Arabidopsis thaliana: one gene and its partner. The protein of the gene in region 1 purifies or fractionates together with the protein of each later gene. This does not show direct contact. Each region holds a gene or a part of one and is shown on either strand. Other genes may lie near its edges. The genes, in order: ICK1 and CYCD2;1.

Evidence for each region.
Region 2: the proteins of ICK1 (region 1) and CYCD2;1 purify together in Arabidopsis thaliana (affinity purification with western blotting, with the first as the bait; one study listed by BioGRID). This does not show direct contact.

Annotation. Positions count from the first base shown.
Region 1 is NC_003071.7:9,971,549-9,988,345, reverse strand, and holds ICK1 (Cyclin-dependent kinase inhibitor family protein), read left to right. Parts: upstream 1-10,255; 5' UTR 10,256-10,424; coding exon 10,425-10,622; intron 10,623-10,715; coding exon 10,716-10,759; intron 10,760-10,877; coding exon 10,878-11,144; intron 11,145-11,259; coding exon 11,260-11,326; 3' UTR 11,327-11,756; downstream 11,757-16,797. Other genes in the region: AT2G23445 (uncharacterized protein), read right to left, coding at 1,839-2,161, 2,353-2,413; AT2G23440 (uncharacterized protein), read right to left, coding at 8,616-8,864; NAPRT2 (nicotinate phosphoribosyltransferase 2), read right to left, coding at 13,437-13,514, 13,593-13,705, 13,782-13,890, 13,974-14,072, 14,158-14,292, 14,376-14,550, 14,656-14,714, 14,805-14,921 and 7 more. UniProt on the Arabidopsis thaliana protein: Binds and inhibits CYCD2-1/CDKA-1 kinase complex activity. Regulates cell division which is crucial for plant growth, development and morphogenesis. Functions in turning cells from a mitotic to an endoreplicating cell cycle mode.
Region 2 is NC_003071.7:9,548,248-9,565,545, reverse strand, and holds CYCD2;1 (Cyclin D2;1), read left to right. Parts: upstream 1-9,400; 5' UTR 9,401-9,672; coding exon 9,673-9,990; intron 9,991-10,230; coding exon 10,231-10,317; intron 10,318-10,399; coding exon 10,400-10,498; intron 10,499-10,600; coding exon 10,601-10,796; intron 10,797-10,913; coding exon 10,914-11,041; intron 11,042-11,128; coding exon 11,129-11,389; 3' UTR 11,390-11,743; downstream 11,744-17,298. Other genes in the region: UCP5 (uncoupling protein 5), read left to right, coding at 1,074-2,015; PFK5 (phosphofructokinase 5), read right to left, coding at 17,132-17,298.

The DNA of each region.
Region 1 (16,797 bases):
GGAACCGAAACAACAAAATAATATGATACACTGTATAGGAAGTTTCTTCTAAAGAAAGATATTTAGGAAGTTTGTTGATTAACTTGTAAAAAAGAAACTAAAGTAAAAATTGCAATAATTGCATATCCTATAGAAATAGATAGGTGCCAGATTTTAATATTAGGTACGATTTCTGAATTTTTTTAGATATCGTTAGTCAATCCATCACGGCACCAAAAAGTCTATATTCCACTATCATTTCCTAAGGTAACGTTTTTTTGCTGACATTTATCATAATCTTGTTACAAAACAGAAATATACATATGTTGCTGTAAAGAATAATATAAATATATTTCCGGCTTAGTTGATAAACGTGTTAGTTTCTATAAGAAGAAAAACACTGTATTCGAAGGACGTAACACAGTGGAGGAAGCACGGCTCTTATTTGGGCAATATAGGTTTCATGGGGACTAGGATACCGCTCTCTAATATTCTAAGGTGATAACAAAATCATCAACCACGTTATCAATGCGAACATCAATAATATTCGACTCAAACACTATATAGAGACAATACAACATTGGAAAAGTGGTTTCATGAACTCAAGATTTACTTTCACCCATCGTGAACAAAATAATTGTGCAGACCTGCTAGCGATAAAAGCTATTATAAGTCCACAACTTTGGTTTTTGTATCATACATACCCTTTCTTTCTCATGTCTCTTGTAAACAATGATTGTGATTTCCATCACTAATTAAAGTTTTAGAAGGAAGAAAAAAACAGCTGTTAACTGTAATTAGTAAAGCAGTATATTGACATCTAATTTTCTTTCTGTCAACAGTCCTTTAGTTTTTTTTTTCAATTTAATATTTTTAGCTAATATCTTAAATTTGCATTTTTAATAATCTTGCTTAAATACGAAAATAAAGCCCAGTGAATCCTAAACTACTATCCCACACCTTTGATCTATCAACTAGGACCGGTCCTGAACGGTGTGCCTGCATTTTTAAGATTCTCTATGTTTATTTTTTATAATTTTCTCCTTAACTTTAAGGTTTTTTTAGATATATTTTTTGATTACTCGAGTTAGATATTTATATGCTTTTGAGTTTTGATACACGCCCTTCCTTTTGTGGTTCCTATCAAAGATTATTGCACACAATCAATCATCTTGAGTTGTGTTAACCTTTTTTATTTTCGTGGATGTTGATTCTTCAATATTGCCTGTATATATACCTAATCAATTACCATTTATCATAATCCAAGGGATGATGCATGCAAGATATTTTCTTATTAATTAATTAATAAATGATAAAACAAATATCTATTTGGTACTTGTAACACAGTACTTAGTTAACCCAATGAAATTTACGTACTATAAACTTTACTTAATTAGCCTAACTAAGTGCCTAATTCTAACACTAGACACTAGTTGTACACGTTACAGGTACGTCAAGAAAATATATCGGACGCATATAAAGTTAATGTAGCTGCAATATTAACGCAAATTTTGAAACCTGTAAAATAGATGATTCTTATAAAGATCATCTCCCAAGAGCATAAATATTTACCAAAAAACAAGAGTATAAAATAATTTATTTTTTTATTTGTTAATTGTTATTCTGTTTGGCTATGATATATATATTAGAACCGCAAGATAACAATGGAAACATAAATTACGAAGCGACAACCATTATTAAGAGACCAAACCAAATTATACTATTTACAATATGAGAAAACAGCATGACTCATGCATAACTGAATTAGGTCTCCAAAGTGAACAACCTTTGGTTGATGGAACAATGTAGGCAAGGGAAAAAGAGTAGGAGAAATCCAGATTAATAAATTCAATTTTCTATCAGGTCTTGATCAAGTGGCCAACACCAGGGCTGTGACCTGGTTCAGTAGACCGGAAAGCATTGAGACCATAAATATCCTTGCTCCTCCTCGTCTTGATGCTTCCTTGAAGCTCCTCTGGGGGAGTGTCCTTGTGATGGTGCTGCTGCTGCTGATGATGATGATGATGATGATGGTGATGGCTTGAACGTTTCTTACATGAATAATCTTCTGAGTGATGACACCTAAAACGGCTACCTTGCGCCTCGTCGATGAGTTCGCAGAAAAGGAGTACTATAGTAAGGAAAAGGTAAATTACACGACGTGTCTTTGCCATATCCAAAACTACAAATATATAAAAATAAGGTTTAAAAGTCTTTGATCGTGAGTAGTAGCAATATATATGATATATGTGTATTATGAAAGGTTTAATAATGATTTAGAGTTTGAGGTTGAATCTGTGGCTATTTAAAGACAAAGTGGACTTAAACGATTGATTCCGATGTTTCTAAGTTATTGATGGAAAACGACCGTACCTTTACTGTTCGTGGAGCATGCAAGACCCCATGATTGTAATCTAGGACTTATAATATACATAAATACTTTATTCTCGTACCATTTAACTTTGGAAAATTGTTGTTAGTATATATATGATTTTTATTTGAATGACATATTGTTCTTAGTTATTCCATGTGAATCTAGATGTGGGTTTAAGCAGAGTATTTGATGCCTATAGATGGTTTTATATTAAAAATATATTATTTGTCTTCTTCACCGCAAATTTTGCATGACCATAACAAAAATATGCTAGAGCTTAAAAGCTTTTCGGGGTGACATTTTTGTTCGTATATAACGTTTCTTTTTTTCTCTTTAAAAAACAAGAGTTTTAATTGTTTGAGAAAAGAAAAAATTGTTTGGGATTCTTTGTCTTATTATCTGTTTCTTACAGTACTTTTTTTCCTTTTCCTCCTTTTTTTGGTTCAAACTTTCATTATACACTCTCTCGGCTACCAAAGCTTAAGGCGGTGATTAAAGTTAAGAATTGTAGAGTTAAGATTAAAGTTAACTCTAGATTATAGAATTTGGAAGTTACTAATAAAATTTAAAGATATTATTTGAACAAAATATAAAAAGAAAACATGGGTTAGAGACCTATTTTGCCCCTTTAACAGAGAGAATGCGACCTACACCATATTTTCATTTTTAGTAGTAATTCATAATTTTTACTCAAAAAATTTCAGGTCTTAGGTCCATGTTCTCTGTAGCCCTTGATTTTTCCATCATCCCTGAACTTGACGGGACTTTATAGAATGAATAACTAGGAGACCAGTTAAACTATTAACACGGATAGTAATACATACTTAATATGTGAGAAATGGAAACAAAATGATACGTGAGAATATAATAATACAAAGTGAAATATTGTTTTAAGAAAGGATGAGACATAAACATGTGAAAACTGAAAAAGTAGTGGTGGTTTCGCTAGACCTATTATTTATGATATTAATTGATGGCTAATATTAATGTTCAGCCTCGCCGCAATAAAATGTTCGATATTCAGGGAAAGTTGTAAGCATTTGCATGTTAGTTTTGCCTCCCTGTCTAATATTCTCCTTTTCCTTCTTTAGCTAAACTAAAAGACTCCAAATTATTTGATTTTGACGAATTAATTTCTCATAATATGTTTTATAATAGTTATTTTTTCTTTGAAATGAAACGTTATAAATAACGTCAAGCTTTAACGAATTAATATTCCATTTAAATTATCATGTACCCACTGCCAATATTGTGCGTTACTTTGCGATCAGGAAAAGAATGTGACGCCGTCGTTTGTTTCTTTGTCTTCTACGATAAACAAAAATATCATTATTAGATCATAATAAGATCATTTGACATGGACACCTCTTTAAGAATGACACCACACAAAATGTGGCCTTCCATTGTGTATATTTGTGCTACTTTCGTCTGCATAAATTGGGATAATACATGAATCACATAGCTGAGTTATAGTGTAAATGTGGGTTAATCCAAATATTTAACATGAAAAACTTTCAATAAAAGCTTTTAAAACGTCCCAAGGTAGGTAAATCATTACCAACAATCAAATATCATCAACATGTATGAAAACTATAGTTCGATGTGATCATGATAGTATATTAGTTTGTATGTATCCGAAGAATAATCAATACAAAACTATACCATACCAAACTTTGTTAAGAACGTCGTAAGTATATCAAACAAAAAGATTTGAAAATACCATAGAATGACTTTTGAAGGGTGACAACCGTTTGTCTGGTGACAACATGTAAAGAGGGAAAGAGGTTTTCATTTTTCGGAGGTATCATCTCATTGTCTAAGCTAAGACCTCACTCTATGTATGAGTTACTGTATTTAGCGGTTCCTGTTTTCTTAAAAAGGCAACATGTTTCCACTGAAAATAATCCATTCTACACTAATTTATCCAAAAGAAAAAATCCAAAAATTACTTGCGACATAAAATGGTTTAGTTCTTTAAACTTCTAAACTTGCGCTTGTACTGAAAATATAGGTGGTCCTTGTAATGGTCTCTCTTATGGAAAGATCTCCTCTATAGCCAGTGACTCAATTTATTCTAAATTTTGAGAAAATTGTGATTCAACATGTTATATATGTCATTTTATCAAAGATATGGATTAAGTAGTGATGAGGATAATTTCTAATCTTTTGCATGGGGTTAAAGTATTGATAATAGCAACTTTGCAAACTTATGCTAAAGAGTCCAGATGATTAAATTAATTAATCTTCACAACATTTTTACTAGCAAAGCCATATTGAAATGACAGAGCAACTCCAACGTTTCGGATTGTGAGAGTTTCTAAAAAAAACAAAAAGTAATAATATTGTAATTCTATAATTATATTCTAATTATTTAATATATGCAAACGACCAATAAAATCACACATGTATCTTTATTTATAGGATTGATCCTTGATTTACGATTTTTAGAGATTCTCTCTCATCTTTCTTTTAATTTTTATTTATTTTTCTTGTTTTTAATAATTAAAGTTTCTATTAAAAAACTAGCGATGCAGTTGCTCTAACCATCCTAAACTCTAAACCTCCAACTATTTTAAATAAAATATTTTTTTTCAAGCTTTCTAATATAAACTTCGTTGATTACCACTTGAAATTCCACCAAAAATTTGCAATCATAATTCGTAAATTTTGATGTGATGGTTTTGGAAATTATAAAACAAGACATCATATAAGTTGGTATGGCTAAAGCTATAGTTTTTATTACATAAATTAGTGAGGCTCATAGGCATGAGACTTGATAAAAATTTGTAAAGAAATAAGCATCAGGTTATAGTCTATTGGATCTTGCATACGGTCGCTGTCCCCTATTGCTTCTTTCAATCGTTTTGGGCCTTTTGTCTTCTCTTTATTATTTTAGACAAAAAACAACAAGTTAATACCATTCTCTTCTCTACAATGAATCTTAAAAAAAAAAATCCATGTAAAAGAAAACGAAACAGAAATTAACTTAATCATAATAATAACCACCCTAAACTAGTAATCAAACATATTTGGATGTAACCACACAAATGAAATAATTAAAAACACTCTCTCTATATTATAAACATATGTATGTATATGTATATATATAATAATGATATTAACAATAATAAAATGGACAATTCATAATACACCTATATATCTCATCTTAGTGTGGGTTTTGTTTTTTATTGGGTTTCTTCTTTTCCAGTAGGATTTATAAGTGCTATTAGGGTGTAATAAAATTGCATTTTAATTGTTTAACCGTGTGCACCTTTAGTTACACTTCATCTATTTTGAGGTGGAATCTAAACATTATTCTAATTAGCTCCTGCCTTTTTGGAAGTCCCTTGAATGGATCCCACTTTAGTTTCTGTACACCACTATTACTTAATGAAAATTTTATTCAGTAGATTAAAATCTTAATGATTATAAGAACAAACCAAAAATAAAGATAAAAAAAAGAATTAGTTGGCTACTCGAAATGAAGAGGAGGCCATAGAAGATGTTTAGTTTTTTTTTGTGAGGCACAGGGATTTCTTCCTGTTTTTTATTAAAAATAAAATGAAAAAATTACACCCGAACATTCCGAGAAACTGTAGTTCCTCGTATGTCGTCATCCACAATCAACGCCACACACGGCGGACAAGCCTTAAAAGTATGAAAGTCTAATGGCAAAGAAAAAGCATAGTTAGCTAACTCATCGACAAGACGGTTAGACTCTCTATACACGTGAGAAATACGGACTATCCAGTCCCTTGAGATAAAGCTATGGCACAACCGTACCAGGAAAGACGACGAATGAAAATCACTTATCCTTGTCTTTAGAAACCCAACCACCAACTCCGAGTCCACCTCTAACTCCAACCGTTCCACTCTCTTCCCCCAAGCAATATAGAGACCGTAATACACTCCCCATAGCTCTGCTAAAGGTGCCGAACATATACCAATATTAAGCGAGAAGATGTTTAGTTTACGATAAGCTCATGCGCCACCAAACAAACTCATAGATTTGTGCATTAAAGTTGATTTGCAAGGCTGTCGTACATCTTCTACCGTTGATTTATTAATCAAAAGAAATTAAAGTGCGAAAACATAATGTAATATTAAAGTATGTATAGTGGAATATATTTGACCCATTTTAATGATATATTTATGCATATAATACAGACTATATTATTAATACAATAATTTGTTTTGTGGGATTTTTTATTTTTACTTTGAAAATTAGTCATACAAATGTAGTTTATATATCATTTTAAAATTGTTTTGCCAGGTTACAAAACATAGATTAATATGTCATTTACTTGATCAAGGCAAGTTTATTTATTAAAACATAGATTATTGTGTCATAATTTAGTTAAGAATACTACTACTATTGACAAATATTGAACCAACAAAAAGAATTCCTGCTAATTACTAAATTATACGAACTCTGAGCGAAATGATAATCCTACTGGTTGTTGAAGCCTACGAAACATTTATAGCTGCTAGACAGAGAATCTTTTGAACACTCCGAATATCACTCACCATCATTGGACTAACGCTTTTTGGTCCAATATAAGGAGAGACCATTCAATTAATAAATCCCATGATATTTGGTTTCTTTTTGTACGGTTAGCTTTTACAAATTTATAGAGAAATACCACATGTATAGCTTACCTACCATTTCAAGCTCAAGTTGTGCATTTCTATAATAGATTAAAGGAGACTAGACCGTTTCATGTAATTTAGTAGAGCTTTATGATCTTGTAAAATTCTCGAGCCCTTAACCTTTTTTAAAATTTGTAAACTTTGTAAAATTTTGTAGTTAAGAATTTTGGTAAGGTTTTAATTTTTTGGCAAGCTCAATAGTAGTATATTAAGTTGAAGTTCTTAAAAAAAATATATTTAAAAATTAAAATATATAAAAACTTAATTATTATTGAACTCATAATATTCAATACATAGATGACATACAAAAAATTAAAACATACATGAAAACATAAAATTTAACTATTAATTTCTGCTAAAAAATTTCCATATATATTCAACCAAATCAAATTCAATTATTGATGTGCTTGTCGATTACGAATTCGAGTTCGAGTTTCCAATATATTCTCGAGATTTGAAGGCATATATGTAGAATAGGTGAAATCCACTTGTGCATTTCTAGTTGATTCCGGTTGTACAAATTCAGAGACATCAAAGTAAGTGTAAGTATCTCGTTCGTTTTCTACTATCATATTATAAATTATTATACATAGTAGAAGAATTAACGGTAAGAAAAAAAATTCGGCTTTAATATTATTCTTCCAACCAACCAAATCATGCCACGTCACCACCACATTTTACTTCAGAGGATCTCTTAGCTTAGAGGGCCTCTAAGCAAAATTGCTCAATTAACATTTAAATTTAATCATTTACAATCTAAGAATCTCCTAATATCTCCCTAATATCCCCCCTTTAATGATACTCTTAGGTTCTTGACTGTCTTAATTATTATTTTGTATGAGAATTGTAAATCAGTATTTTGGAAATATTTTTTATTTTCTTAATTTTTGAAGTAGTAGCTATAAATATATAATTTAGTTAAAAGAAATACAGATTATGTTAATGGATATACATGATTACTTTTTCGTTAATGGAAATATAGCTTCAGTTTTCGTTATTTGTCTCTAAATTCTTAACCATCTTTTACTTGGTATATTGCTTATTTCTCAAATACTAACATCCGTCTAAAACTTTTAACAAACAAACTAAAGTTTTTCAGTGACTAATATTACGTAATACAAACTTTTAGGTTTTTCTCCATGCAAAATAATGTCTGGCTCAAATTTTGAAACGCAGATATGGAATATCTGTACCAAATTATTTCAAAGATAGTTATTCGTTCTACGTACAGATTTTGAAGACATAAACAAGTAATCGAAATTGCTTCTATAGTTCTATTCCTAAATCGGTTTGTGATTAGATCGAGTTACGTATGATTCAGTTCAAGCGAATGACATATCTCGATAGAAAAATTTCTTAGTTCAAGCGAGTGACACATCTCGATAGAAAAATATATGAGAAAATTGGAACCTGATAAAAAAATGTATGTGCTTTTAAAATAAGATGGATTACATCAATCTTAATTTAATCAAATAAATATTATTACAATCACACTTGCAAGAAACTGAATATGACGAAACTGTACGTAAATACATATTCAGAAAAAAAAAGTCACCAGGCCAATCATATTTTCAACATGTAATCACATAGACGATGCTATTGTTCCTCTCCGTTAATTATGTACGGAATGTCCAATACCGGGGCTATGACCAGGTTCCGTAGGTCTGAAGGTATCAACCCCGTGGCTCGGCGGCGACTCAAGTGGCTCAGTCGGAGGTGACGACGACAATACAGAGCCACCAGCTCTGATTTCCTCAGACGTCGTTACGGTGAATTTGGTGAGTTTTCGGCCTTCAATTGAACCAACACTAATAGTCAAAAGAAAGATAAATGCAAAAACGTAAACATTAATCGTCGCCATTACTAGAAAAACCGAGACGAGAATTAGAAAAAAAAAGAAGCTAAATTATAATATTTAGTCGAAGGCGAAAATGTATTATGTATTGATGCATGAAACCTCTTGGACCATCTGATGTATTTATAGGGATGAAATTTTACATAACATGGGCGCAACACTTGAGGAGATAAATTAAATATTTAGGGGGTATTATTGGTTTATGATTTTAAAAGAACTTTAACGATTATGTAAAATCGTTTGTTATTCAATCAAGATTTTTAAAAAGTTTATTAAAGTTCTTTGTTATTAATTTAAGATTTATAAAAAGTTTTCTAATATCTTTATAAATCTAGGGTTATAGATTCATACTTTTTTGTAAAGTGAGTAAAAGTTTTATGTTATTCAATTAAAACAAAAGTCGTCTGCATGACCTTCATGTAAATTTCAGTCCCTTCTTTTGATTGAGAAACTAGGGAATTTTTTGGATTGAAAATTGCTTGGTGAGTTAAGGAGATCTAATCTTGATGCTCACTTTATTGCCAAGAGCGTAACAAAAAATGATCGCCGTTAATCGTATGTAGCAACTAGGTTTTCTTTTTGGTTAAAACAACTTTTTGAGGAAGAAAAAAATGCCTAGTGTAATACTGGTTGATCTAGAATGATTGTCCTTGATCCACATTTTTTTGTATGTTTGGTTGGAAATTATGAAGTATATATTTATCTTTCAGTGAAAAAAAAAATATTTTTAATTTTTAAAGCAAGACATGGTAATTTGAATGCACTCGCCACTCCATTTTGTTCATGCTTTGAGACAAAAACAAAACATAGAAAGGCTGACAAGGCCCATGGGAAGTGATGGAGGCCAAGTTTAGTTCTTAGAAACCTTTACTATATTATGACTTATTAAGCCCAATATATCACGATCGACACGTGCTGTTGACAACTTGACATCAGGCTAAGCAAATACGCAGGGATAACAAAAATATAATTTCTAGTGTCAGTTTTACTTTTACCTTATTTTACTCACAGGTACGTAGTTTTTAGGCTATCCGTAACAATCCACCTATACTATACACATAATCTATATATAGTCTCTATCCAATTCATTTTAAAGTAATATGAACTTTCTAATTTTACCTAAACTATAAAATTCATCCCAACTATACAAAAAGCTTGTCAATTATAATTTAAAACATTTTAAACGGTTTCGCGTAATGGCAAATCTGTGAATTACCAATAGATGAGAGGGTTTTTAAAATAGTTAGTTACACCACAATTATTACGCCTCCCGTTCCGTTAAGTCACCGTTTATAACCGACACGTGTCAATAAAACAAACCATCGGCATAAGTAACTCCATAACATCCAAATAACGGCGCCTCCAGTTTCCCCGTTAAAGATTCCCCGTCACTGTAACGGGACCACTAAAACACGCCATTTCTCTATCACACACAGCACAAAACTCAATCCTGACCGTTCAAAACCAAATTCATCATCTTTCTTTCTTCTTCTTCCTCATCCTCTCAATCATATCTCTCTCTCTCACAGAGATTGTGACTTCACGCACACGTAACCTAAATCGAAGATGGTGAGAAAATATAGAAAAGCTAAAGGAATTGTAGAAGCTGGAGTTTCGTCAACGTATATGCAGCTACGGAGCCGGAGAATTGTTTATGTTAGATCGGAAAAATCAAGCTCTGTCTCCGTCGTCGGTGATAATGGAGTTTCGTCGTCTTGTAGTGGAAGCAATGAATATAAGAAGAAAGAATTAATACATCTGGAGGTTATTTAATGTTGTTGATTCTAGATTCTTGTAACTGTATATGTATCATTTAATGTTAATGTATTTTTTTTTGAAATTTTGAAATTTTTGTAGGAGGAAGATAAAGATGGTGACACTGAAACGTCGACGTATCGACGGTGAGTGTTAAAAAAAAAACTGAAAATGATTTGAATTTTGAAGGTTTTATTATTTTCCCGGTTATTTATTTGACTCTCTCTTCAATAAATTTAGAATCTTGCTTGTGAGTTATTTTAGGGGTACGAAGAGGAAGCTTTTTGAAAATCTGAGAGAGGAGGAGAAAGAAGAATTAAGTAAATCCATGGAGAATTATTCATCGGAATTTGAATCGGCGGTTAAAGAATCGTTAGATTGTTGTTGTAGCGGGAGGAAAACGATGGAGGAGACGGTGACGGCGGAGGAGGAGGAGAAGGCGAAATTGATGACGGAGATGCCAACGGAATCGGAAATTGAAGATTTTTTTGTGGAAGCTGAGAAACAACTCAAAGAAAAATTCAAGAAGAAGTAAGTTTTTATTTTATTTTGTGAGTTTGATTTTTATAGATAATATATTTTTTATTCATAATTTAAAATTGATTTTGAGGTAAAATTAAGAGTGAGTTTATTTTTTTTTAATTAGGTACAATTTCGATTTCGAGAAGGAGAAGCCATTAGAAGGACGTTACGAATGGGTAAAGTTAGAGTGAAGAAGAAGAAGAAGTTTATGGTTTTTTTTTTAACTTTTTAGATTTTAATATTTCAGGGAATAAGTTAATTTTATTTTGTTGATTTGGAAATATAAGATTTGTAGGAGGAATGTTTTTAGAAGTACGAAATTGCACAGAAAAAGAAGAAAGCTTTTTAACAGATTTTAGAGCCCAGAAAAGTCGTGTCTTTTAGCTCTACTTTTACCTCTTCTTCGAATCTTGTGTATCTTTTAGCATATTCTTTAGTACATTTTTATGTTTTTGGTGACTGATAAAATTCTATCCCCACACAGGTACAACCACACTCATTTTTTTGTCTTCTCCGTTTTAATAATATTCAACCAAAAACATCAAATGCATTTTGGTAGATTATCTTACCGCCCTAAACGCTTAAAATTATTTTAGAATTTTATTTCTTACAACGTTTGATATGGATTAAAAAGTACTATGAAATTAGTTATTATTGTTCTACTACTTAAATTAACTAATCGACAATTTCAGTGCAGTTTTTTGTTGAACAAAATCGTACCAACCATGTCAGCTAACCACACCAACTAATTTTTTTGTTTCATATTCAGCACCGAATATGATTGAGCTCGACCAATCAGAATTTCAAGATGATTCTGTTATTCTTAAAGTTTATTGATTAATAACAAATCACAAACATTCTATCACACGAAACTTGGTTTGAAACTTTTCAAAATTTTAATTATAATAATACTAGCATATAATAAAACTTTAGATCTGTAAAGGGCATACTGTACTGGCCCAATGGTTAGAGAATTTTGAGATAATGCCATAAATACATTATTCCAAATGATGCAGGACCATTTTGTAACTAGACAAATTATCCGAAGACTTGGAAACAAAACTCTTTCATGGACCATTTCAGAAAATCTTCAAAACAAATGATCATGGACCATTTTGTATATGTAAGCTTAATTCAGATCACAAACAGGTTAAATGAGGGACTCAAATAAACAAAAACAATTCTTTCATCGAGGGCTGTTTTATTTTCGTGATATTGTTAAGGGAAACTTAAAGATATGTTTGGAATGGCCAAGTCAACTAAATTAACTATTTTTTAAGAAGTCAAACTAAACTTTAGGATTTAAATGACATTTGAAAAGTTCATGTTTTTTTCGTCAACAATATGAAAGTTCATGTTTTCTCAACATTTTTTTCTTTAATCAATCTATTAATTTTCACTAAAGAATTGTTGTTTTGAAAATATGAACGGAGCCAAAAAAAAAAAGAGTATTGGTCCCGACCAGTTTTGTGTATACTATGTGTTTCTTTTATATCAACAAATTTAACTTTCATCCAAGAAAACCCACGCCCATATCGAGTGCCCTGCCCTCGAAGCCATGGCTATTTGGAGACCATAAGAATTCAAAGTTACACTTGTATAACTCTGTTGTATAAGACCAAAACTATCACTTGTTTTTAACCTCAATTTGGATGGATTATCGTCTTGTCATTTTTAGTCATCTTGTATTCTTGTTAAGTGATTTTTCGTTAAGTAATGGTTTCCTTATATTCCATATTTTTTTTTACTGTTTGGTAAGTTTCTGTAATAAAGTTTTACTCCTCATTTACTCTGTTGTATTTTTCTATTCTCATATTCCATAATTCATCTTTTTGGAAATGAATTTTGAATATGTGGTTAGTGACTAGGTCCACCCCAAACGTCCTAGTAACGCCTAAAGAAGTTTTTGAAGAAAGGTAATGTTCTTCAAATCTCTGCTAGAAAAAACTCAATTAACTCAACTGCTTACCAATCCGTTTGCAACAGTAAGTTGTCAACCATATGACGAAACTAAACCTGATCCAAAATCGTTGACTTGAGTAAATGTTTTTACAGTCTCCAGTATGTTTACAGCTGTAAATATAAAATCTTATTGAATCAGTTGAAAACAAAGTTCCAGTGAACGCAGAGAGTTTCTTTCCTCAGTAAGAAAATGAAACTTACTACGACAATGAGAGATCATCAAAATGTTGTAAGAAAAAGAAACTAAAAGTGAAAAAAATGCATATTTGTGATGCTGTGGTATATAAATTATATACATTACACCAAACCAAAACCAGATTCTTCTTTTTGGTTGTTCTGTCACTGCAATTCACCAACAGGTGCTTCGTTTAGCCATAAGAAGTGGATGAAATCGTACAGCTTTGCGCTTACACTAACCTGTAAACCATGAGAGAAAAAAACATTTACACAGATTTCTCAGAAACTGAAAAACATGTTTGTCGGATAAAACCATACCTTATAAGGAGTTGGGTTTAATCTCCTCATATGATCAGGTCGCATGTTTTCGAGCTGTTTGATGCAACGGTCTCTTATCTCTTTCAAAGGCGGTAATACTTCTCTTGCTTCATCTTCATTGGTATAGAGAAACAATAATCAGTGAAAAGCATTGTCATTAATAACTCTACGGTACCGGAAAATCTTTACCTGCACTTCCACGCCAATAACATTTGAGGAGCTCTTCGACACGTTGTGGCACTACATATGCTCTTTTGGATTCGTTGAATGGGTGACGACAAAGTAAACGCTCACCAACCTTTGATATCAAGAAAGATATTATGTAAAAATGCAATAAGGTAATGAGATTAAAATCTTTGAGAGAGTTATCTTTCGTTTTACCTTTGGAGGTGGTTCGTTCTCTCCAGTCATTATATCTACCAGAGGGTAACCTTCTTTGCCGTATAATCTGTAACTTCGCTTTTTACACGGTATTGATACCTAAACGAATCAGAATGATAATCAGATTAAGTGCAATGTGACATTGAATGTTCAGAACACCAAGAGAGAGAGAGAGAGTTTTAACCTTTGTAACATCTTCAGAAAGTTTAATCCGAGGCTGATTGTTTATCTCCACAAGTTTGAAAACGCAACCTAAGGCCGCTTGTGAATAGCAAGTGACCAAGTAGGTCCCGATGCCAAAAGCATCCACCTCATGTCCCTATAGAGATGAAAGAAAAAACACTGCTTAATAATAATCAATCTTTCGGGGGCATGGCATTTGAGAGTGGGTTAGGGAGTCACCTGTTTATTTAAAGCGTCAATCGTCTCTTCATTTAGATCATTACTAGCAGTGACGACCATCTTCCCAAAACCAGGCACTTTTAGTTCTCTCTCTACCGTGCAGAAGAAATTTCTGGCCTCTCTAGATAGATAAGCTAAATCACCTGAATCCAGTCTAATACCTAATGCTTTATATCTGCGCAGCACAATAAACATCAATTGCATCTCAAATTCCATATGATCCTGAAGAAGTACAAAGTCAAGTCAGACGATCGGGTATTGATAAGAGATTCTTACACACCCAAAGTCATTGAGTGCTAAAGCAACTGCACAGAAGTTAGGGATTCCACTCTTCATCACCTGTAAAACAGTCAGCAAAACACTAATATAAGAGTTTATTAGAAATCCTAAGGCTCAAATGAGCTATCTACTATGGTGTTTAATGCTCACATCGTATGTATCTACGAGGGCAAGAAAAGTTTTGGGGAATGCCAGTGCATATGAGGTGAAAGCTGCTAGCTCGCTTTGATTTGTCTCAGAGAAAATGCCACTTAGAGATGGTGAATACTGTCATCCACAAAGAAACAAAACATAAGAAAAACTGTGACAAAGATTCAAGCAAAGGGTTGAAGCAGAAATAGAACAATGGTCCTGAGACTAGAAAACAGGAAGAGGAAGAGCAAAATGTGCAATAAACAAACCTGAATCTTTTTTAACCATGTCTGAACATGACTAACAAAATCCTCGCACGTGGTTTTCCCATCAGCACTACGAAGTACTTTGTCAACAATCTCATCAGTACTCTGCAATCCAAAGTTAACTAATTATATCGAAAATGCTTTTGTGATATTGTTATGAGCGAGGATATTAAGTGTGCATCAGAACCATGGCTAATAAAGTTATAGCAACAAAGGCATTGACAAGAATATCTTATTTTCACGAAACTTTGTGTTATCGTCTCTACTAGCTAACTCAAGTATGTAACCTCCACATAAAAATTGAAACTTTTGGCTGAAGTGAACTGACCATGAATGAGCTAACATAAGCATGAGAGTGTGTTCCACGAAGAGGAATCCCAAAAAGTTTTCCAGCTGCTACATTACTGTCATTGGCAAAATACCCAACAACACAAAACACATCATTTCCACATTCCCTTTCACCTACTTCCAGATCAACAAAAACAAAAAGCAAGACTTGCCTTGTTGCATCAAAACCTCCAAGGTAGCAATATTTTGATGCGCTTATTGCACCATCCGGACCCTAAGATTCCAACACTAATAACATCAGACAGAGATGGAAAGAACAACACAAAAGGCAATATATCAAAAAACAAGAGAGAGATTTATAGGAAACCTGAGCCCTTCGAGCACCAAACTCGAGTAGACTCTTAGATTTTCCGGCAACAAAGCGATGCCTAGCTGCGTTAGTAGCTACCAAAGATGCAAAATTGACAAGATTGAGGAATGGAGTTTCCAACAATTGAACAACCTATGGAGATTTTACAACAACTGATGAATCATTCATTCAAGAAAACTATTCCTTAAACAATCTTCACAAATGAAAGAGACAAAGAGACTCACACCAACAGGTCCTTCAACTCTCATGAGAGGTACTTTAGGAAAAACAACTGATCCTTCCGGAATTGCATAAACTTCAACATCAGAACAATCAAGCCCTCTAAGATAATCACAAAAAGCTTCCTAATTTGAATCACAAACATAAAACCCTGATTTAAAAATCCAAACTTTAATCAATAACAATCTAAAAACAAACAGATTTTTGATATACCTCAGATCCAGGCAAACACTCTTGAACGAAATCGATTTCTTCATCAGTCAATTTGAAATTGGCTAAGAACTTAACACACTCTTCTAATCCAGCAAACACAGTGTACTCACCACCAAATGGGTTCTTACGAAAATACAGATCGAAACTGAAAAGGAAACAAAAACAATTTCAAATATACAAAACCATTCAGAATTCAACATCAAAAGCAGAGCATGAGAAGAGATTGTGTGTTGTACACGGATCGTTCGTTGTGTTTGCCAGCTTTCCAATAAGCATAAGCCATGGTGAATTGATAAAGATCATTGAGTAAAGGTGTGACCATTGGATTCGTTGGTCCGTCAATGATCTTCTGACCCAATTCTGAGCCGTTCTCTTTCGGCTCCATTGTCGTCGCTTCCAATTTGTGTGGAACAATTGGCTTCGTATGAGTGAGTGTGTGTGTGATTACGAGAGAGTGAATGGACGAGGAACACTGGTTCTTGGTTGTTTATATTGGAGTGGTCAAAGGAAAAAGAAAAAAACAAGTGTGTTTAAAGAAAGAGACGACGACCACCACACAAAGCAAAACTTGCTTTGAACTTGACCTAGTCTTTCTTTAAGAGCCTTTATTGGTTTCTAATTATTTCTCATTTTAGAGTTTAGACTAAAACGAGGT
Region 2 (17,298 bases), 420 kb from region 1:
ATTAAATTAAGCTTACAAATTTGCAAGAGTGATGATTGCTATATTGCATAAGAGGTATTTAACTTGGATTTTTTTAAAAAAAAAAACAAATTGGGACGAAAATGTAGTCTTTCTTTTTTTGTGTGTGTAAAGATTAATATGTTAGAAGAATAGCTTATATATTGCTAAAAAAAATAAAAATGAATAGCTTATATATAAAATAGCAAAATCAAGAAAACGACATTACTTTTAAGCTGAATAGATATGAATTTTTTGAAATGCCAAAAGTTATTATATAATAGATGAACAAAGTTTTTTTTAAAATATAGTTATAATTTTAAAACGTACGGGATAAATTAAAAGATCACTTTTTCACGTTTTCTTTTTTTAACAAAACTTTTGTTAGATAATCTGAAATATTACTCATTATTTCCCATATTCTATTAAGTATTTGTGAATAAATTGTATACAGCTAAACACACATAAATTACAAATTTATTGATTTAATATACTTTACTACTTTGGTTAAAAAGTAAACATATTCAAATTCCTTTATTTCTTCTACTTTGGAGCTGCATTAAACAACTTCCTTGAATAATTACGTAATTAAAAACAAATTACCAAATATTTAGTCAAAAAATAATTTAGTGAATATATCAAAAATAAAAAATAAAGGAAAGTCGGACGATACTAACAAAATTATTAAAGGAAGATGAATTTCTCTTTCCTTGTGCGCAAAATAGCAACAAGTCTCCGCGTTTCCTCTCTTTCTCTCTTTCCCTTATTTAAACACACTTCGTCTTCTACCTCTAAACAATCTCACCTTCTCTCTCCCTCTCTATAACAAACATTAATACACACACCAAAAAAAAACCTGTTTATGTCTCAAAGATCTCTGATTCCTCATTCTTCTTCTATAGCTTTTGGTCTCCATTCTCATCTCTTAATCTCCAGTGAGATCAGCTCCAATTCTAACTGGTCTCTCTAAATAAAAAACAGAAATAAAAATCCAACCTTTTTCAATTTTCGTTCAATTTTCCCGGAAAAAAAAGCGATCCTTTTGATTTTTCGATTTCTCCAAGTAACAATTCAAAATGGGTCTAAAGGGTTTTGCTGAAGGAGGAATAGCTTCGATTGTTGCGGGTTGTTCGACCCACCCGCTTGATCTAATCAAGGTCCGAATGCAACTTCAAGGCGAATCAGCTCCGATTCAAACCAATCTCCGACCAGCTCTTGCTTTTCAGACTTCGACCACCGTCAACGCGCCTCCTCTACGTGTTGGTGTAATCGGAGTCGGATCTCGTTTAATAAGAGAAGAAGGCATGCGTGCTCTGTTTTCCGGCGTCTCCGCCACCGTTCTTCGTCAAACTCTGTATTCAACGACTCGTATGGGTTTATACGACATCATCAAAGGAGAATGGACCGACCCGGAAACAAAAACGATGCCTTTAATGAAAAAAATCGGTGCCGGAGCCATCGCCGGAGCAATCGGAGCCGCCGTTGGGAATCCTGCTGACGTGGCGATGGTGAGGATGCAAGCCGATGGTCGTTTACCGTTGACTGATAGAAGAAACTACAAAAGCGTTTTAGACGCGATCACGCAAATGATTCGCGGTGAAGGCGTTACGTCGTTGTGGAGAGGATCGTCTTTGACGATAAACAGAGCAATGCTTGTGACGTCATCGCAGTTGGCTTCGTATGATTCTGTTAAAGAGACGATTTTGGAGAAAGGGTTGTTGAAAGATGGGCTTGGGACTCATGTGTCGGCGAGTTTCGCGGCGGGGTTTGTTGCGAGCGTTGCGAGTAATCCTGTTGATGTGATTAAGACGAGAGTGATGAATATGAAGGTGGTGGCTGGAGTTGCTCCGCCGTATAAAGGAGCGGTTGATTGTGCTTTGAAAACGGTGAAAGCGGAAGGGATTATGTCTTTGTATAAAGGTTTTATCCCGACGGTTTCGAGACAAGCACCGTTCACGGTGGTTTTGTTTGTTACGCTTGAACAAGTTAAGAAGTTGTTCAAGGACTATGACTTTTGAAAAAAACAAGAGTTGAATTATGTTGAAGAAGATGAATGATGGTGGCGACAATAAGCTTCTCTTTTTTTCTGGTTATAATTTTCTTTTGATTATTTGAGTAGTTTTAAATTGTTTCCCATTTGTTGGAATAGATCTATGATATGATAATTCTTCTCATGGAGAAGAAAGAAAGAAAGAAACAGTTCATTTGATTCATTATTCAAGGCAGTGAAATACTTAGATTCGTTTATGTTAATTTTGAACTATGTAATATTCGTTTCTTTTTCTTGAAAGCTTTATTTTTAGTCAAAAAAAGATGATGCTTTACAAAGATTTTTTGGAAAGATTGAAGATCTTTGATAAAAAATCTTCGGTAATCAATGTTCAAGAAAAGAAAGCACCACACCACCGAATTTCGCATCAATTATTTAGATATATTTATGTTAAGTTTGAACTATGTAATATTCCTTCTTTTTTTCCTTCCGGAAACTGTTTTTCATTCAAAGATGAATTCTTTTTACATAGAGCTGAAATTCAAAGTAATAAATGTTCAAGAAAGCATTAGACCACGACCACCCAGGGGCGGACTCACGTTGTGATTGGTGGGGGCAACTGCCACCAGCAAAATATAAATAGTTGATGATATTTGTATAGAAATATTGTATGTAAGGTAGGAAAGTGGTAAGGAATGCCCCCACTAAAACCAAGAGGTCATAGCTTCAAACCCTTTTAGCAACATTTTGCCCCCATTAAATATTTCTTCTGGATCCGCCCTGAGACCACCTAATTTTACACCTTTTTCTTAGCAACAAAAAACTTCATATATCACTAAGCATGTTTGAATAGGTTGGTCTTATATGCAAACCACTCTCAAACCTGAGCTTAGATGGGAAAATATAGAAGTTCAAGAGAGAAACAGTCGGCGTGAACATTATTGTTCCTAGAGATATGATAAATCGAAAAGAATCTAAAACGGAAACGTATAAGATTAAAAGAATCAAGTTCTGTGGCAAATGCATGCCATGGTTCTTCATCATCTATGGCTTTTACTAACTTTGCAATCCGTTTCAACATGAAACGAATTCAGACTGTATTGTATCACGCTTCCGTAGTACATGAAGAGCACTTAACTCAGAGTGGAGAAGTGCAAATATATACAGTAATACAGAATACCTTGTCTGGCCTGTTTGTACACAATATTTAGTATTTGCCGACATATTTTATTTCCACCCAAAGCTATTGTTCAAGATATATTTGCTACGGTGGAAGTTAAAGAGTACAGTCCAGATAAATCGATATAAAAATTGGACTATAGGTATTTTTACATGGATTTTTTTACCTATAGAAAAAAAAAATGAAACTGAATTTAAGAAACCCCGATTCTTTTGAAAATCGTATAAACCATGGTATTATATCAAATCGTATAAAACAGTTGATATGAAATATATATAGATATATATTATTTATCATTGCTTGTTATATATATGGATTATTACTATGTCTTTACTGAATCCTCATACGACGAGATAAATGATTTTTAATTAGATGAAAGTTTCATGAAACTTTGGACATGTTCAAATTATTCTATAAATTAATTTCGAAGGACCTTTCCTAGCTATATATATATATATCAAAGATCAATAATAGACATGTATCAAGCTGTAGACAATGAAATATCGCAAAACGTTAAGATTACATCAGGTCAACCAAAAAGTTTCATTAAAAAAAAAGAGAGACAAAATCAAGAATCAGTAACAAGCACCCACGTGTTATTGAGATGGCTTTAGTTTCACACATACGTTACTATGTAGAATCTTCTTTCAGCATCATAAACTAAAAGCGCGTCTACGAGAACGCACTTTCCACACGTTTACCGACTCAAACCTAATTCCTCTTTTAAGTCATCAGAATCAGATTCGATCAACTCATTCGTTGCGTTGATATGGATTGTTCTCTTCTTACGGACATAAACGATTCTTTCAAAACTCTTGCTTTGTTGGAGTAATGTTTAGTAACGATTCTTTCAAAACTCTCAGCAAACATAAACTTTTGGTAACGATAAAGAACTAACACCAAATTGGGAAAAGAATCACACCAACTGTTTGAATTGGATACGAAACCATATAAAGCAGATGAACATAATAGACAAATTTTGATTATGTTACCCTATAAGAATAAGGGCAAGAGGATTTACACTTTGAAGTTGAATTTGAGTTTTACTAGATTAACATTGATTTATATATCATGGTTGATTCTTTTTGTAAAAAGTTTAAACCAAAATATAACTCCAAACTTGAATTTTATATATCTATTAAATTGACCAAGATAATTTCTAGGCAAATATTTGTAGGACGAACTACAATGATAATAGACATAGACAATACAAACATACAAGATCAGAGTAATAACAAATCACATTGTTATGGAATTTACCAAAATGTTACAAACCAATATCTATCAAAATCAAAACCAACAACCAGTCACTAACAGAATAACAACAAAAAATTGATGTTGAAAATTCTCATCTCGAACGGAATGCCGACGTCTTCGCTAGTGGACATGTCCACACTACACAATCAAAGCAATACCGTTCCATGTCTTTCTTTAAGATTATAGGTGATACAACATAATGAGCAGCAACATAGCAGAATCATCAAGAGTAATGAGTCAACGAAATTTCCAATCATCACTCATCAAAAATATAGAGACTATATTTACTAATAAGTGATGACGAGAAAGCTCAGCTGACTTCTTGAAATACTTTCGAAGATTCAACTATATTACTCTCATTCTTATTTATAATCATATAGACCGGGATTGGTAACTCTAAATCAATTACCTATATCAATAGCAAAATTCACAACAAAAGAAAAATTAACAGCAAAATTATTCGTAAAAAGTGAATTTTAGAGAAGCAGCTTTTTTTAGTTGCTCAGTTAACCGCTCAGGTCGACATTATAGTCGCTGACTCATTAAGCACAATGCTTTCAAAAAATATTTTTGCTCATCCTTGCAACAAAACAAAACAAAACATAGAACTAAGCAAGTAATGAAACATCTAAAGCAGAAAGAGTAAATCTTTGTCTTAAAATGAGATAAGTATGGTTGCTCAGCTAACCGCTCAGGTTCGACTATTTTGTCGACCGTTCATGAAGTGTAAACACTTTCAATTTCATTATAAGATCTCATCATTGCAACCATAACTAAGCAAGAAATTCACAAAAACCCCTTAAATCTAGAATAGAGAGAACACGAGACTACGTACTAAGCAGGAGTGCAGGACCAATTCAACATTCCCTAGAACCTCGAGACAGTATCTGATACATCTATAGATTACCTTTACATATATACTAACGGAGATTAGGGTTTCAAAAAACCAGGACACAAAATTGAGTGAACCATAAAGCAGAGAAAAAAATAGGGTTTTTCAGTTTTCGCCGGATCTCTCTTGTCGTCTTTAAGATGAGATATTTATATAGAGGAAGACTCTAGGGTTTTAGTTGTTTGGGCTCTGAGTTTCTTACTATTTGAGATAATTAAAAGGCCCAGATAATATTTATGGGCTTTTGATTGGACTGAGTTCTATTGATCAATCATTTCGAATATGGTGGGTAGGCGTAAAATGGGCTACAGTTTCTCTGTCGGATGAAGGACATCACATAATCATGAAAATAACTTTTGTATTGCGATTTTGAAGATGAACAAGCAGCGTTTCGTGACATAAGAATACCTAAGAAATAGTAAACTTGAATGTTGTCTTAATAAACTTTCCAGTTGTTAGACCATTTTCAGTAGGGATTTCTCATAAGAGTTTCTCACAATTAAATAAATAAAAATAATAAAAATAAAGGAGAGAGTGTATAGAAAGTTTCTCAAATGAAAAACTCTAAGATACTCTCTACAACCAATCATGACATTTCTCTTTTCACTATTGGTTCAATTTTTTAACTAATATTTTTTTTAATCAAATAATCAAATTAGAATATAATATTAATTTTTTTTTTGAGAAACTTTGTGAGTTTCTCATTGATGAAGATGCCCTTAAATTTGAATTCAAATAGTAGTTGACTAATGGTCAACGATATTTCTGTTCGGAATAGTAAACGTCGTCGACAACATTCGTTTTTTAGTTTCTAAAACATATATAAACCCTAAGAAAAAAAAATGTATTCTAAGGTTCGTAATTATATCGTTAAAGGACGTTTACTATTAGTTAACCTTTAACCGAGCTCAAATTTAACGACTTTAAAATTTATTTAGAGAAAATTAATTAGTTGGTGGTTTTATTTTAGAAAAAAAAAAGTTGGAGGTTTTTATTAGGAATTGTTTTCAATTCCAAGGTTTTATATGGAACGAAAAATATTGAAAGTTTTAGTTGGGAAAATGTTTTAAAATGGATATTTTATTTGAGATTTTTTCCTAATTATAATTATGTTGATAAGTCTTTGACTAGATGGAAAATGTAAAATAGAAGGGAAGAGGAGGCATTTTGGGTAGTTTAGCGTAATAGCCAACTAAGAGATTAGTATAGGCAATTAATCATGATTGCTCAATGAAAATCGTATATGCTTAGATCACAAAAATCCAAAGGCTTGCGCACAAATATGGAATAGCTTACAACTTTCAAAACCATAGAGTTACCAAAATGTGCCAGAAAATATTTTGGACCTTTTTGTGTTTTTATATAAAATGGAACAAGCGTGATTCTTACCCAAAGTAAAGTCAGCAATTTTGTAGTCAAGTGGTAAAGTAATTACATAGTTTAATAATCGTTGGATCCATTCTGATCTAGTAGTGGTCAAGCACATAGCTGTAGAACATAAGCGTTACACTATAACTCTAATTAATTGGAGGATCGGGCACCGAGCTGAAATCTCCGAACCTGAGCCAAAATTTCCGAATTCAACACCGAACCAAACAGTAAAATAACCAAAATTGAAAAGGAAAATATACCGAGTTTACTGATCTTAAACCGAACTCGAACTATAGAAAACCTAATCAAACTAACCAAATTACATTAAAAAAAACTATTATTTAGTTCACTATGTTCAATGTTTAACTTAGTATGCTATAGATCTAAGTAAGATAAACAATTTTGCAGAAGAAATAGATTGCAAAAACTCAAATATTTAACATGAATCATTAGCTAGTTACATGGATTGAGGAGTCCACTATAACCCATTAAACTATTCTTAATAGCTCTATTTCATTTGATTGTTGAATCTCGTTTTATTTGCTTGTTGTTAAACTCTATTGTTTTACTCGACTGTTGAACTCGACTTGCTTGCGTCTGATCATTTATGCTTCTTTGATTTTGAGTTGAAGTATGTGTTCCTGGTCTTTAGTGCTTTATTGATTTGTGTTCCTTGTTTTTCTTTAGTACTGGTAATCTTGCATTTTCTTTAGTTTATTGTTTTGTTTACTTTTGGTCTTTAGTTTCAATTGATATGCATGCTGCTTCATTGCTTAGTTGTTTAGTTCTTTACATTCTCCTTAGTATAGTTGCATTTGAATTTGGTATTGCATGTTAATCTATTGTTTAAGTTCAATAGAAACCCAAACCTTATCATATTTGACTTGACTTGACTTAAATAATTGTTGTTTATGTCTTGAATATTTGCAATCACACAAAGGATTGGATTGATACCCTTCTATGCTGCAATGATATTGATATGCTTAGTAGGGAATTCATAGATCATTGAGATAGTAAAGTATAAAATGGTTCTCTGAGACAAATTTTTGGCCTTGGTTATAAAGAACAAACTGTTTAGTATTGCTGAGATGTGGCATGTAGTTGTTATAGGCTCTCTGATTCTGAATGTAATTTATCTATTCAGTTTGAGAAGTCTCTCCTTCTTGGATTTAGAAGTATTTTTCTTTAGTAATATAGTGGGATGGCCTCAGTTGAGATAATAAAAGCGTGTCCAAACGAAACTGATAGTTTTGATTCCAAATGGAGATTATTTTCTAGAACCTAAAAACCCCAAAACAAAAAAAAAATCCGGAAATAAAGTTGTTTAGTAATTTTTCTTCAGTGACTTCCACTCCTTAGATAATCAATATCGTAATTGTTGTCATTGTTACTAGAAAACACATAAAATAATTTCCAAAATTTATATGTTAAGTAATATGTTGGAAACCCTAAAATCTGATGTTTGCTTGAGCTCATATCGCAACTTGTACGTTTACGTGAAGTCTAATCCACATCTGACTACTGCTAAAGTTAGTTTATCCTATTTAGTTTCTTCTGTAGTGGGGATATAATTTTCATAATCGTGACCGCTTCATAACAATGTCGAATGGGCCAAATCCGCGAACACTTCACCTAGTTAAAAGTTAAAAACCTAATAAAGGTGAGTTACATTACCTAAATCTTGATTTGAACTAAGCAATTTTCATGCTATGCGGGTTAGATTTCTAAAATTATTAGATCATTTATTAGCAAATATCTTTTGTATCAGATTACTTTGCCATATAACTAGGTGTTTAAGAATAGAGGAAGGATGTGAACACATGTTGAAAATGATGTCTAAACGATCGAATCCAAATTAACACTTATAAATCGATCCGGAAAATCATGAAAATGAAAAGAAATGTATAGTGTTAGTTAAACTGTAATTAACTTAAACATGACAAAATATTTTATATAAGTGAAGTTACTAAATGATTCGTCTTAATAGAAACATAGCCTTAGCTATATATTTTTTTCCTTAGGTTGGATGTTTCCACAACTCCGCATTTCATATTTTGTTTCTAAGGTTATGTGGTGGTAGTCCGATGTTTTAGGTCAAGTTTTGGTCGATGGTTCTTCTTTCTATCTTTGACATTTTCTTTTCTTGGCTTTCAATCAGTCTTTCATATCTACTACAGCGGTAAAAACAGTTGGGCGTCTTTAAGTTTATTCTACTCTAGTTCAAAATCATAAGTGATTGAGATCTTATTAGTTATTGTTTTTTCGGTTTATATCTCGACGTTACCGATGTTGGCGAATAGCACAAGGTTCCCTAACCTTAACCTCAAAAGAAAGATCCACTAAATAGAAGTAAATAAAGCATATGATTCAATTTCAGAAGTTTACAAAACACTAAACAAGAACATGAAAACCAAAAAATAGTGAATTGTCTTCTTTTTTGGGAATAGTATCTCTGGAGATTTCAACATTTATGACCAACTTATTTTTTTGGAATACTTTTTTTTTATCGTTGACTTTATGTAATTTCTAAATTTTACTATGACAATTTTTTTTTTTTTTTTTTTTTTGTCGTTTTTACTATGACAATTTAAATTTAGTTTATAAGGACTTGTGATATTAAACTATTAATAACAATATGATTTAAATTTTAAATATAATTTATATTTCCACATATTGTTCTTAGTGTATATTCTCTGTATTTTCCATTTCGAGTCTGTGGAGTGGTCTCTCCCCTCTCTACCCTAAAACACACTCACCCACTTTCCTCTGTATAAGCCTCTCTCTCCTCTCTCTTCTCCTCTGCCATGAAAATCGCAGTTCCTCAAGACAAAACCTCCTCAGAAATCTCCCATCTTTGATGACTTTTGCTTCCTTAGTTTTCACTTTCTTGTCCGAACGCTCTCAAAAACTTTGAGACCACCCCAATAAACGAATTAAACAGACTATTATCAATCAATACACAACACAACAATCAAACCAAACCCCATGGCTGAGAATCTTGCTTGTGGTGAAACCAGCGAGTCATGGATCATTGACAACGACGATGATGATATCAACTATGGCGGCGGATTTACGAACGAGATTGATTACAATCACCAACTTTTTGCTAAAGACGACAACTTTGGCGGCAACGGATCAATTCCGATGATGGGTTCTTCTTCATCGTCCTTGAGTGAAGACAGAATCAAAGAGATGTTGGTGAGAGAGATTGAGTTTTGCCCTGGAACTGATTATGTTAAGAGATTGCTTTCTGGTGATTTGGATTTGTCTGTTCGAAACCAAGCTCTTGATTGGATTCTAAAGGTATGTGATTTCTTCTTTTGATTGCTTTGATCTGTGTTGTGTTTTAAGACAAACCTCAAATCTGGTTTGGTCTCTTTTTGTGCTTTGTGATTGAGTTTAAGTGTGTTCTTTGATCAGTTTGATAGCTCATTCATTCTCTGATGTATTTATTATAGATTAATTGAATCTTCTCTATAGATTGAGGTATTGATCTTGTTGAGTAATTGAGTTCTTTTGTCTTTAATGCCAATTGTTCTACAGGTTTGTGCTCATTACCATTTTGGACATCTGTGCATATGCCTATCCATGAACTACTTGGATCGGTTCTTAACATCCTATGAATTGCCGGTAAGTTGCATCGTCTTTGCGGATTGGTTTCATCGTATTCGAGACAATACGATGACCGGTTTGTGTGTTTTCGATTGCGTAGAAAGACAAGGATTGGGCTGCTCAGTTACTAGCTGTGTCTTGCTTATCATTAGCATCCAAAATGGAAGAAACTGATGTGCCTCACATTGTTGATTTACAGGTGCAACTTACATTTAGTCCTTAATAGCTTCAGTCTTCTTACGAAGAGTCGAAAATCGAGGTTTTAGTGGAACTAATCTTGAAATGTTGTTCCTATGAGCAGGTGGAAGATCCCAAGTTTGTTTTTGAGGCCAAAACAATAAAAAGGATGGAGCTTTTGGTTGTCACCACTTTGAATTGGAGATTGCAAGCTCTAACTCCATTCTCCTTCATTGATTATTTCGTTGACAAGATCAGTGGTCACGTGTCGGAGAATTTGATCTATAGATCGTCAAGATTCATCTTAAACACCACCAAAGGTGCGTCATTTATTGATCAGAAGCAAGCTATAACAACATTCTTTCTTTATTTGCAACTAACTTGGCTTTGTTTAATGAGGAAGGCTGATACGTTTCTGTTTATAAAATTGAATGCAGCAATTGAATTCTTAGACTTCAGGCCTTCTGAGATAGCTGCAGCTGCTGCAGTGTCTGTTTCCATTTCAGGAGAAACAGAATGCATTGATGAGGAAAAGGCACTGTCTAGTCTCATATATGTAAAACAGGTAATTAACATTCGGTATGATAGCGAAAGACTTAAACCTTTACTGTTTCAAGAACACACATTTCATCTGATCATTGTCTTCCTTTAGCAGGAGAGGGTGAAGAGATGTTTGAATCTGATGAGAAGTCTCACTGGGGAGGAGAATGTGCGGGGAACTAGTTTATCGCAGGAGCAGGCGCGAGTTGCGGTAAGAGCTGTACCTGCAAGTCCAGTTGGAGTGTTGGAAGCAACATGTTTGAGCTATAGGAGTGAAGAGAGAACAGTTGAGTCATGTACAAATTCCTCACAGAGTAGTCCAGACAACAACAACAACAACAACAACAGCAACAAGAGGAGGAGAAAACAATGAGAGAGAATAAAAGAGTCATACATTGCTTTTTACAACCCAAAACCACAAGTACTCATGACATTTGAGGTTCTTATTTATTTTTTTGGTTTTTTTTTTCTACATAAATTTTCTTTTTCTTTCTTTGATTTCTCATTTTCAATCTGAAAATTGGATTGAATATGAGAGTTTTGTGAGAAAGGAAAAAAGAAAATAAGAGAGAGAGAGAGAGCTCTTTGGAAGGCGGCAAAATTAATAAGTCATTATTGATGATGATGAGAGACATCCCTGTTCTTGCTCCAAGGGACTTTTTTTTTTCTACATAATGTCAGAGATATAATTAAAAAAAAAAGAAATAGAAAGAGAATTAATTTTATGATTTTTGTGTCCTCAAATATGCACTATAGTATATATCTTTTATTTTAACATATGTCAGAAGTTATAAAGTATCATATAATGCAGTAGAGATTATTTTAAATTTATATTAAAAAAAACTTTTATCACAGAAAAATCTATATTCTCTCCATTTTACAAAAAATTTGTTGTTCCTATAAATATGCATATATCATGTTAAAAAAAACTGTTGTTCCGATAAATTTTTATCACATAAAAATCTATATTTTCTCCATTATCGGAACATACAATTTTTTCTAAACTGTTCTAAATCACATCGTAGTGACATGAGATTACATTTTTGTGAATGTAGTATTGAATTGGAACACTGTAAATATTGATGACTCTAGTACCTATAATTTAAATTCAAATTATTTAGAAGCTTTTCAACAATTAAGTAAGATATTCCTAAATATTTTCAACAATTAAGTAAGACATTTCCAAAAAAAATTTAAAAATAATACTAAATTTGTGCTATTTGTGGAACATTCGAAAACATGTGATATTTTTTTTGAAACTAAACTTATTTTTGCCCTTAAATATATTCAAGTTCTTACTATTCTCAAGAACTTCTAGTTATAAAAAGAAGTACAATTGACATTATTTAAAATTAAAATAATTTCTAAAACGATATACAAGAGAATTTATTTTTAAAAACCCTTACTATTTACCTGGTTACTGGTTAGTAACTTATTACATATTAATACAACCCTTGAATTTTATGTATTTTTACTATTATCTTTGCTTTGAAAAAAAATATCTAATTTTCCCAACAACAAAAATACTTAATTGGTTTAAAAGACAATTGCATGTTTTGGGGATTGGAGAAGAGAAAACCACAATGGGCCCCGAAAAGAGTTTAGTGGGCCCATTTATTTTTGTTTTGACTGTGCGACCGGTCAACATCTCTCTCTATCTCTCTCCTCGTGTCTGAGAAAACAGAAAAAATAATAATCTCTGAGCATAAGAAACCTTGGGAATCTACTGCCTTCTTTTCGCTTATTTATGCACATAAATAATATATTTCTATATTCTTTTGTTGTTTTGTATTTAACTATTTATATATTCTGATGCAGCTCAATATTATTATAAGCAATTAATATAGCTAAACGTGATTACCACCCATTTACGAACATAACTCCAAAGTACTTAAGTTAAGTTCATCTAAAACAACATTTTTACTTCTAGTTTTAATATTCAACAAATAATAATACTATACCAATATTTTTATTTAATTAGTGTGATTGAGTTATTTAAACGGCGATTTTGTTGTTGTTTTATTTGTAAACTTTAAGTGTGTTAATTTAAGTTTTATGGATATAAAAGAAACAAGATTTAGTTAATAAAAATTGAATCTTAGATCTTAGATCGAGAATGGTGTAAAACGAGATGAGCATCTTCTTGGGGGTTTCAAATATGTATATGCATGTTTGTGTGTAAAATTTAATTTATTCTTCCATTATGACAACTTTTTTAAAAAGGTTAAAAAAAATTTTAACACTATGCATGCTGGCGGAGAAATATTTTGATATGAATATTACAAACAAAATTAAAACTACTCATCTAAAAAAGGTTATAACATAAAAATATAGATGCAAGTTTTTGGAATTTCTTTACTCGTCTCTTTTCGTAACATGTATACTTGTGGATCTGTGTGTGGTGTGTTCTTTAGTGTGTGTCTAGCAACCTAATTCAGCGATTTACAAATAGCTGTTTTTAACTCAAAATATAAAACTAATAATAGTTTACAAGTGAAAGACAAAGAGTTGGGAGTCCCGCATCCGTTAATAAGAAAAATAATACTTTTCTATCGTTGTGGTAGCTCATGCGCTACCTCCAAAACAACAAGGCAAACATAATATACGTAAATACATAATAAATTGGAGAAAAATATATGATTTTTCATCTATCCAAATAAATAGAAAGTATGATATGTCAAACTACTACTACTAATAAAAATTACAGTGACTAATAAAGTATATGAATCTAACCATATACAAGTTATTTTATCTAATTTTCTATATACAAATGCCAAAGTGTTAATCATGAGTACTAAATCCGTTAACCTTAAAATTAGAATTTTAAATCAAATTAGCACGATAAACTTGTTTTGATTGATAACAATAACGGAAACGAATCTAGTTTAACATAACATCGTGATTTCAGACAACTTTTTAACTTTAGTGTTTGGAATATTTATACATATCGGTAATATCTATAAACTATATACGAATATATAAGTTCCAAGTGTACATGTAAGTTGGTATATGCGGCATGCCTGGTCTTTTTTTCTCAATATACAATTAACTAACTATTTCGTCATTTCAGATTTTGTTAAATATTCTCAAACACACAAGACACTGTACTTTTTTCTTATCAGTTATCTAATATTAATTTTCGTCAGCTTATATTATGGAAATGGAATCCATGATAGCATATTATGCTTTGTTTTTTTAAGAAAATAATACAGGATAAGATATAAAACTACACGTTTAAGCCATAAGGTAGTTATTTTATGTCATGTTTTAAAAACAACACAGGAACTTTTACTATTAGTTCAAAATTAGACATCTAATTAATGTTAACAAGAAGGATTTTGGTTCTCGCAAACATTAATTACACACGTAATGGTAATTATTTTATTCTTATCTTATGTAATCTCATCAACTTTTGATCATCCACACTTGTAGATTTAAGATTCTCTGTATAATGATTTATATTATTCTTAAAACTTTAAATTATACCAAACATAGAAAAGCTCAAAAAGAGAAAAAGTAAAATGGGGGAAAAAGGGTAAAAAGAAAAGAACAAGGGTCAACATGTAAAAAGTGAAAAGTGTGGGGGAGAGTGCATTTTGAGGGAGTCATAAAAGTGTGGGGAACCTTTCGAACTTACTTGCATAGTTTTCATCTTCTCTTTAGTTAGCCTTCACTTTCTTGCTTCTCGTTTTTTAGTCACAGTTATAATTATTCTTTTCGTAAAATTTAGTACTCAACAATAAGAATTATTTAAATTAAGTGAAACGACTGAGAATTTAGCTCTATAAAGAAAAATGAGAGTAGAATGATATCTAGTTATTGAGATTTCAATAATTATAATTTATATGAAATTTCAATCTTTAATCTCGCATACACAAACTCTGAATCATTTAGAAATTTGTTACCAGTGAAGATAATTAAAAAGGAAAAACCAAAAAAAAAACAAGAAGGGATGAATTACCTAAAAACAGGTAAAAAATGAAAGATCATACAAGTTAAGAACCACAAATACAATACTATATACTTTTTGTAGTTTCCAATAGGTCTAGGCATTCAGATTTTCGAATCGTATTATCCGAAATATCCTAAATAGCCAAATTATCCAAAATCTATCCGATCAAACATAAAATTATAATATGTAATGAATTGTTTTGGAGTAGCGGATACCCGATCGGATTTTGGATATCTGATATGACTCGAATTTAACAGGTCAACCTGATTTTACTAAGAGCACCTCCAACGGGAGGTTTTATTGGAAAAAAGTTGAGTCTCTCTTGTTTAAAGTGAATAAATAAATTAAAATACAGAATAAGTTAGAGAATCGGCTTTCTCGACAGAGTTTTTGGAAGCTGAGAGAGTCCCATACGTGGCGCATCGTGGTTGGCTCTTTTAGTTTTAACAAAAGCAAACAAAAATATTCTCCTCTCTCTACTTCTCTCTTCTCCAATTGAACTTTCTGAAGCAAAGATTTTTGCTTATCTTATCTGAATCTTCGTCGCTAATCTGATATAAATTTGAAGATATGATCAAAGCCACCATGGATCTTGGTTGCCTGGATTTGGGATGTCTTTCTGACAAGAAAAGCGGCGTCGGAGTTTCCAATCTAATGGATTTTGTTTTCCCGTCTGATGTCTTCCAGTGACATTGAATTGAGTTTCTTCCTGTTCACTAGAAAAATTAGGGTTGGTAATTTAGGCTCTCGTATAGGGGAATTGAAAATGGCAGTTCCGGAATAGTGAAGCTGTTGTTTGGTGTTGTTTAGGAGGTTGTGAGATAGGAAGATGATTAAGCTTTGATTGATTTAGTTGTTTACATGATCTGCTTTTGTCGCAATGCCATCGTATTAGTTGGAAAATCTAGCTAACCACCTGGCTAAATTAGTTCATCCATCATGCTTCAATATGTTTTCTCTACTGGAAATATGAATCTAAAGTTTGTATGTTATGTATGGAATCTTACCAGTTTTTTTTGTTTTGTTTTGGACTCCTTCTTTCTTAGCATTCTTTGATTCCTTCTTCTCCCTCATATGGGGATTTTACATTTACGTTCTGTGGCAGACCCACTACATGCTATGACTTGCAAAATTGCAGAAGAAAAAATATACTGTTGGAGTCAAAGAGTTGCAAAGGGTATGGATCCTTGTTTATCCTAAGCTTTTTTTCCTGTAAAATTTATAAATGGAGATGATTGTTTAAGTTGTAACATTGAGACCTAGGTAGTATAGTTTCCACTTAAATCTCCATCGTTTTCTTTTGAAAGCTGTCTAAGTGGATACTCTGGATACTAATTTTCGTTAGAAAAATCACTAGAGATGGGTTCGTTTGGTTGTTTCATAAAATACTGCAAAACAATAATTTTGATACCAGTTTTCTGCTAACTTCATGTAGCTATGTTTCATGGCCATTATATATGTCTCGAACAAAAGAGAAAAGTTTTTTTGTGTCCAATTCAATGCATTCATTTGTTCTAGTAAATTTCACTTGTGGTGAATCTCTTTTCTAATAAAGTTTTAGCTAAGTTTCCTGAGCTTAATTTTGCTGACTTTTGATCAATGTAGTTAATCAAGGCAATTCTTTCAACATGAAAGTTTAGAGAGACTACCACTAGAGAGATTACCATTGGACTCTTAAAAATTAACAAAAACAAAACATAAGCTCTCTTCTAATAATTTGACAAAAAAAATATTAAATAATTGTAGAGAGTCCATGGGGAGGCTCTCACCATTGAAGATGGCCTAAGTAACCAAAACCGGTTCGGATCGATTTGGATCGTATTTTTTAGATTATATGCACTTTCCAGTTTGAATTGTAAGAGAGGCGTGAACAGAGAGATTAAGGAGAGAAAGTTGAAGGAAGAGACAAAGAACAATTAAAAGAACAAAAGTGGCCCTAAGGAACACATTTTAACTCTACCAAAGTTTTGTAATTGATAAATAACTTCACTATTTGCACACACACAAAAAAAAAGATAAATAACTTCAATGACTTTCCTACTAAAATTAAATAAATAATATGATTTGATACATCATAACAAGGAACCAAGAATGCTACTGTCTATACATTTCAAGGCTTATTTTTATCATCAGTTTGTTTCGTGATTGAATAATAATATCTTTTTAGATGAAATCGGGTTGGCCCGTTGATGTCAAGCAACGATGCCACATTCGACTATTAGGATCCACTGATTTTGGATATGCAATTACCTCAGTGATTGGCAAATATGCATAGTGAGTGTTGATTATGCCTACCGTGATTCCACTGTATCCAGCAAACGCACCATGAA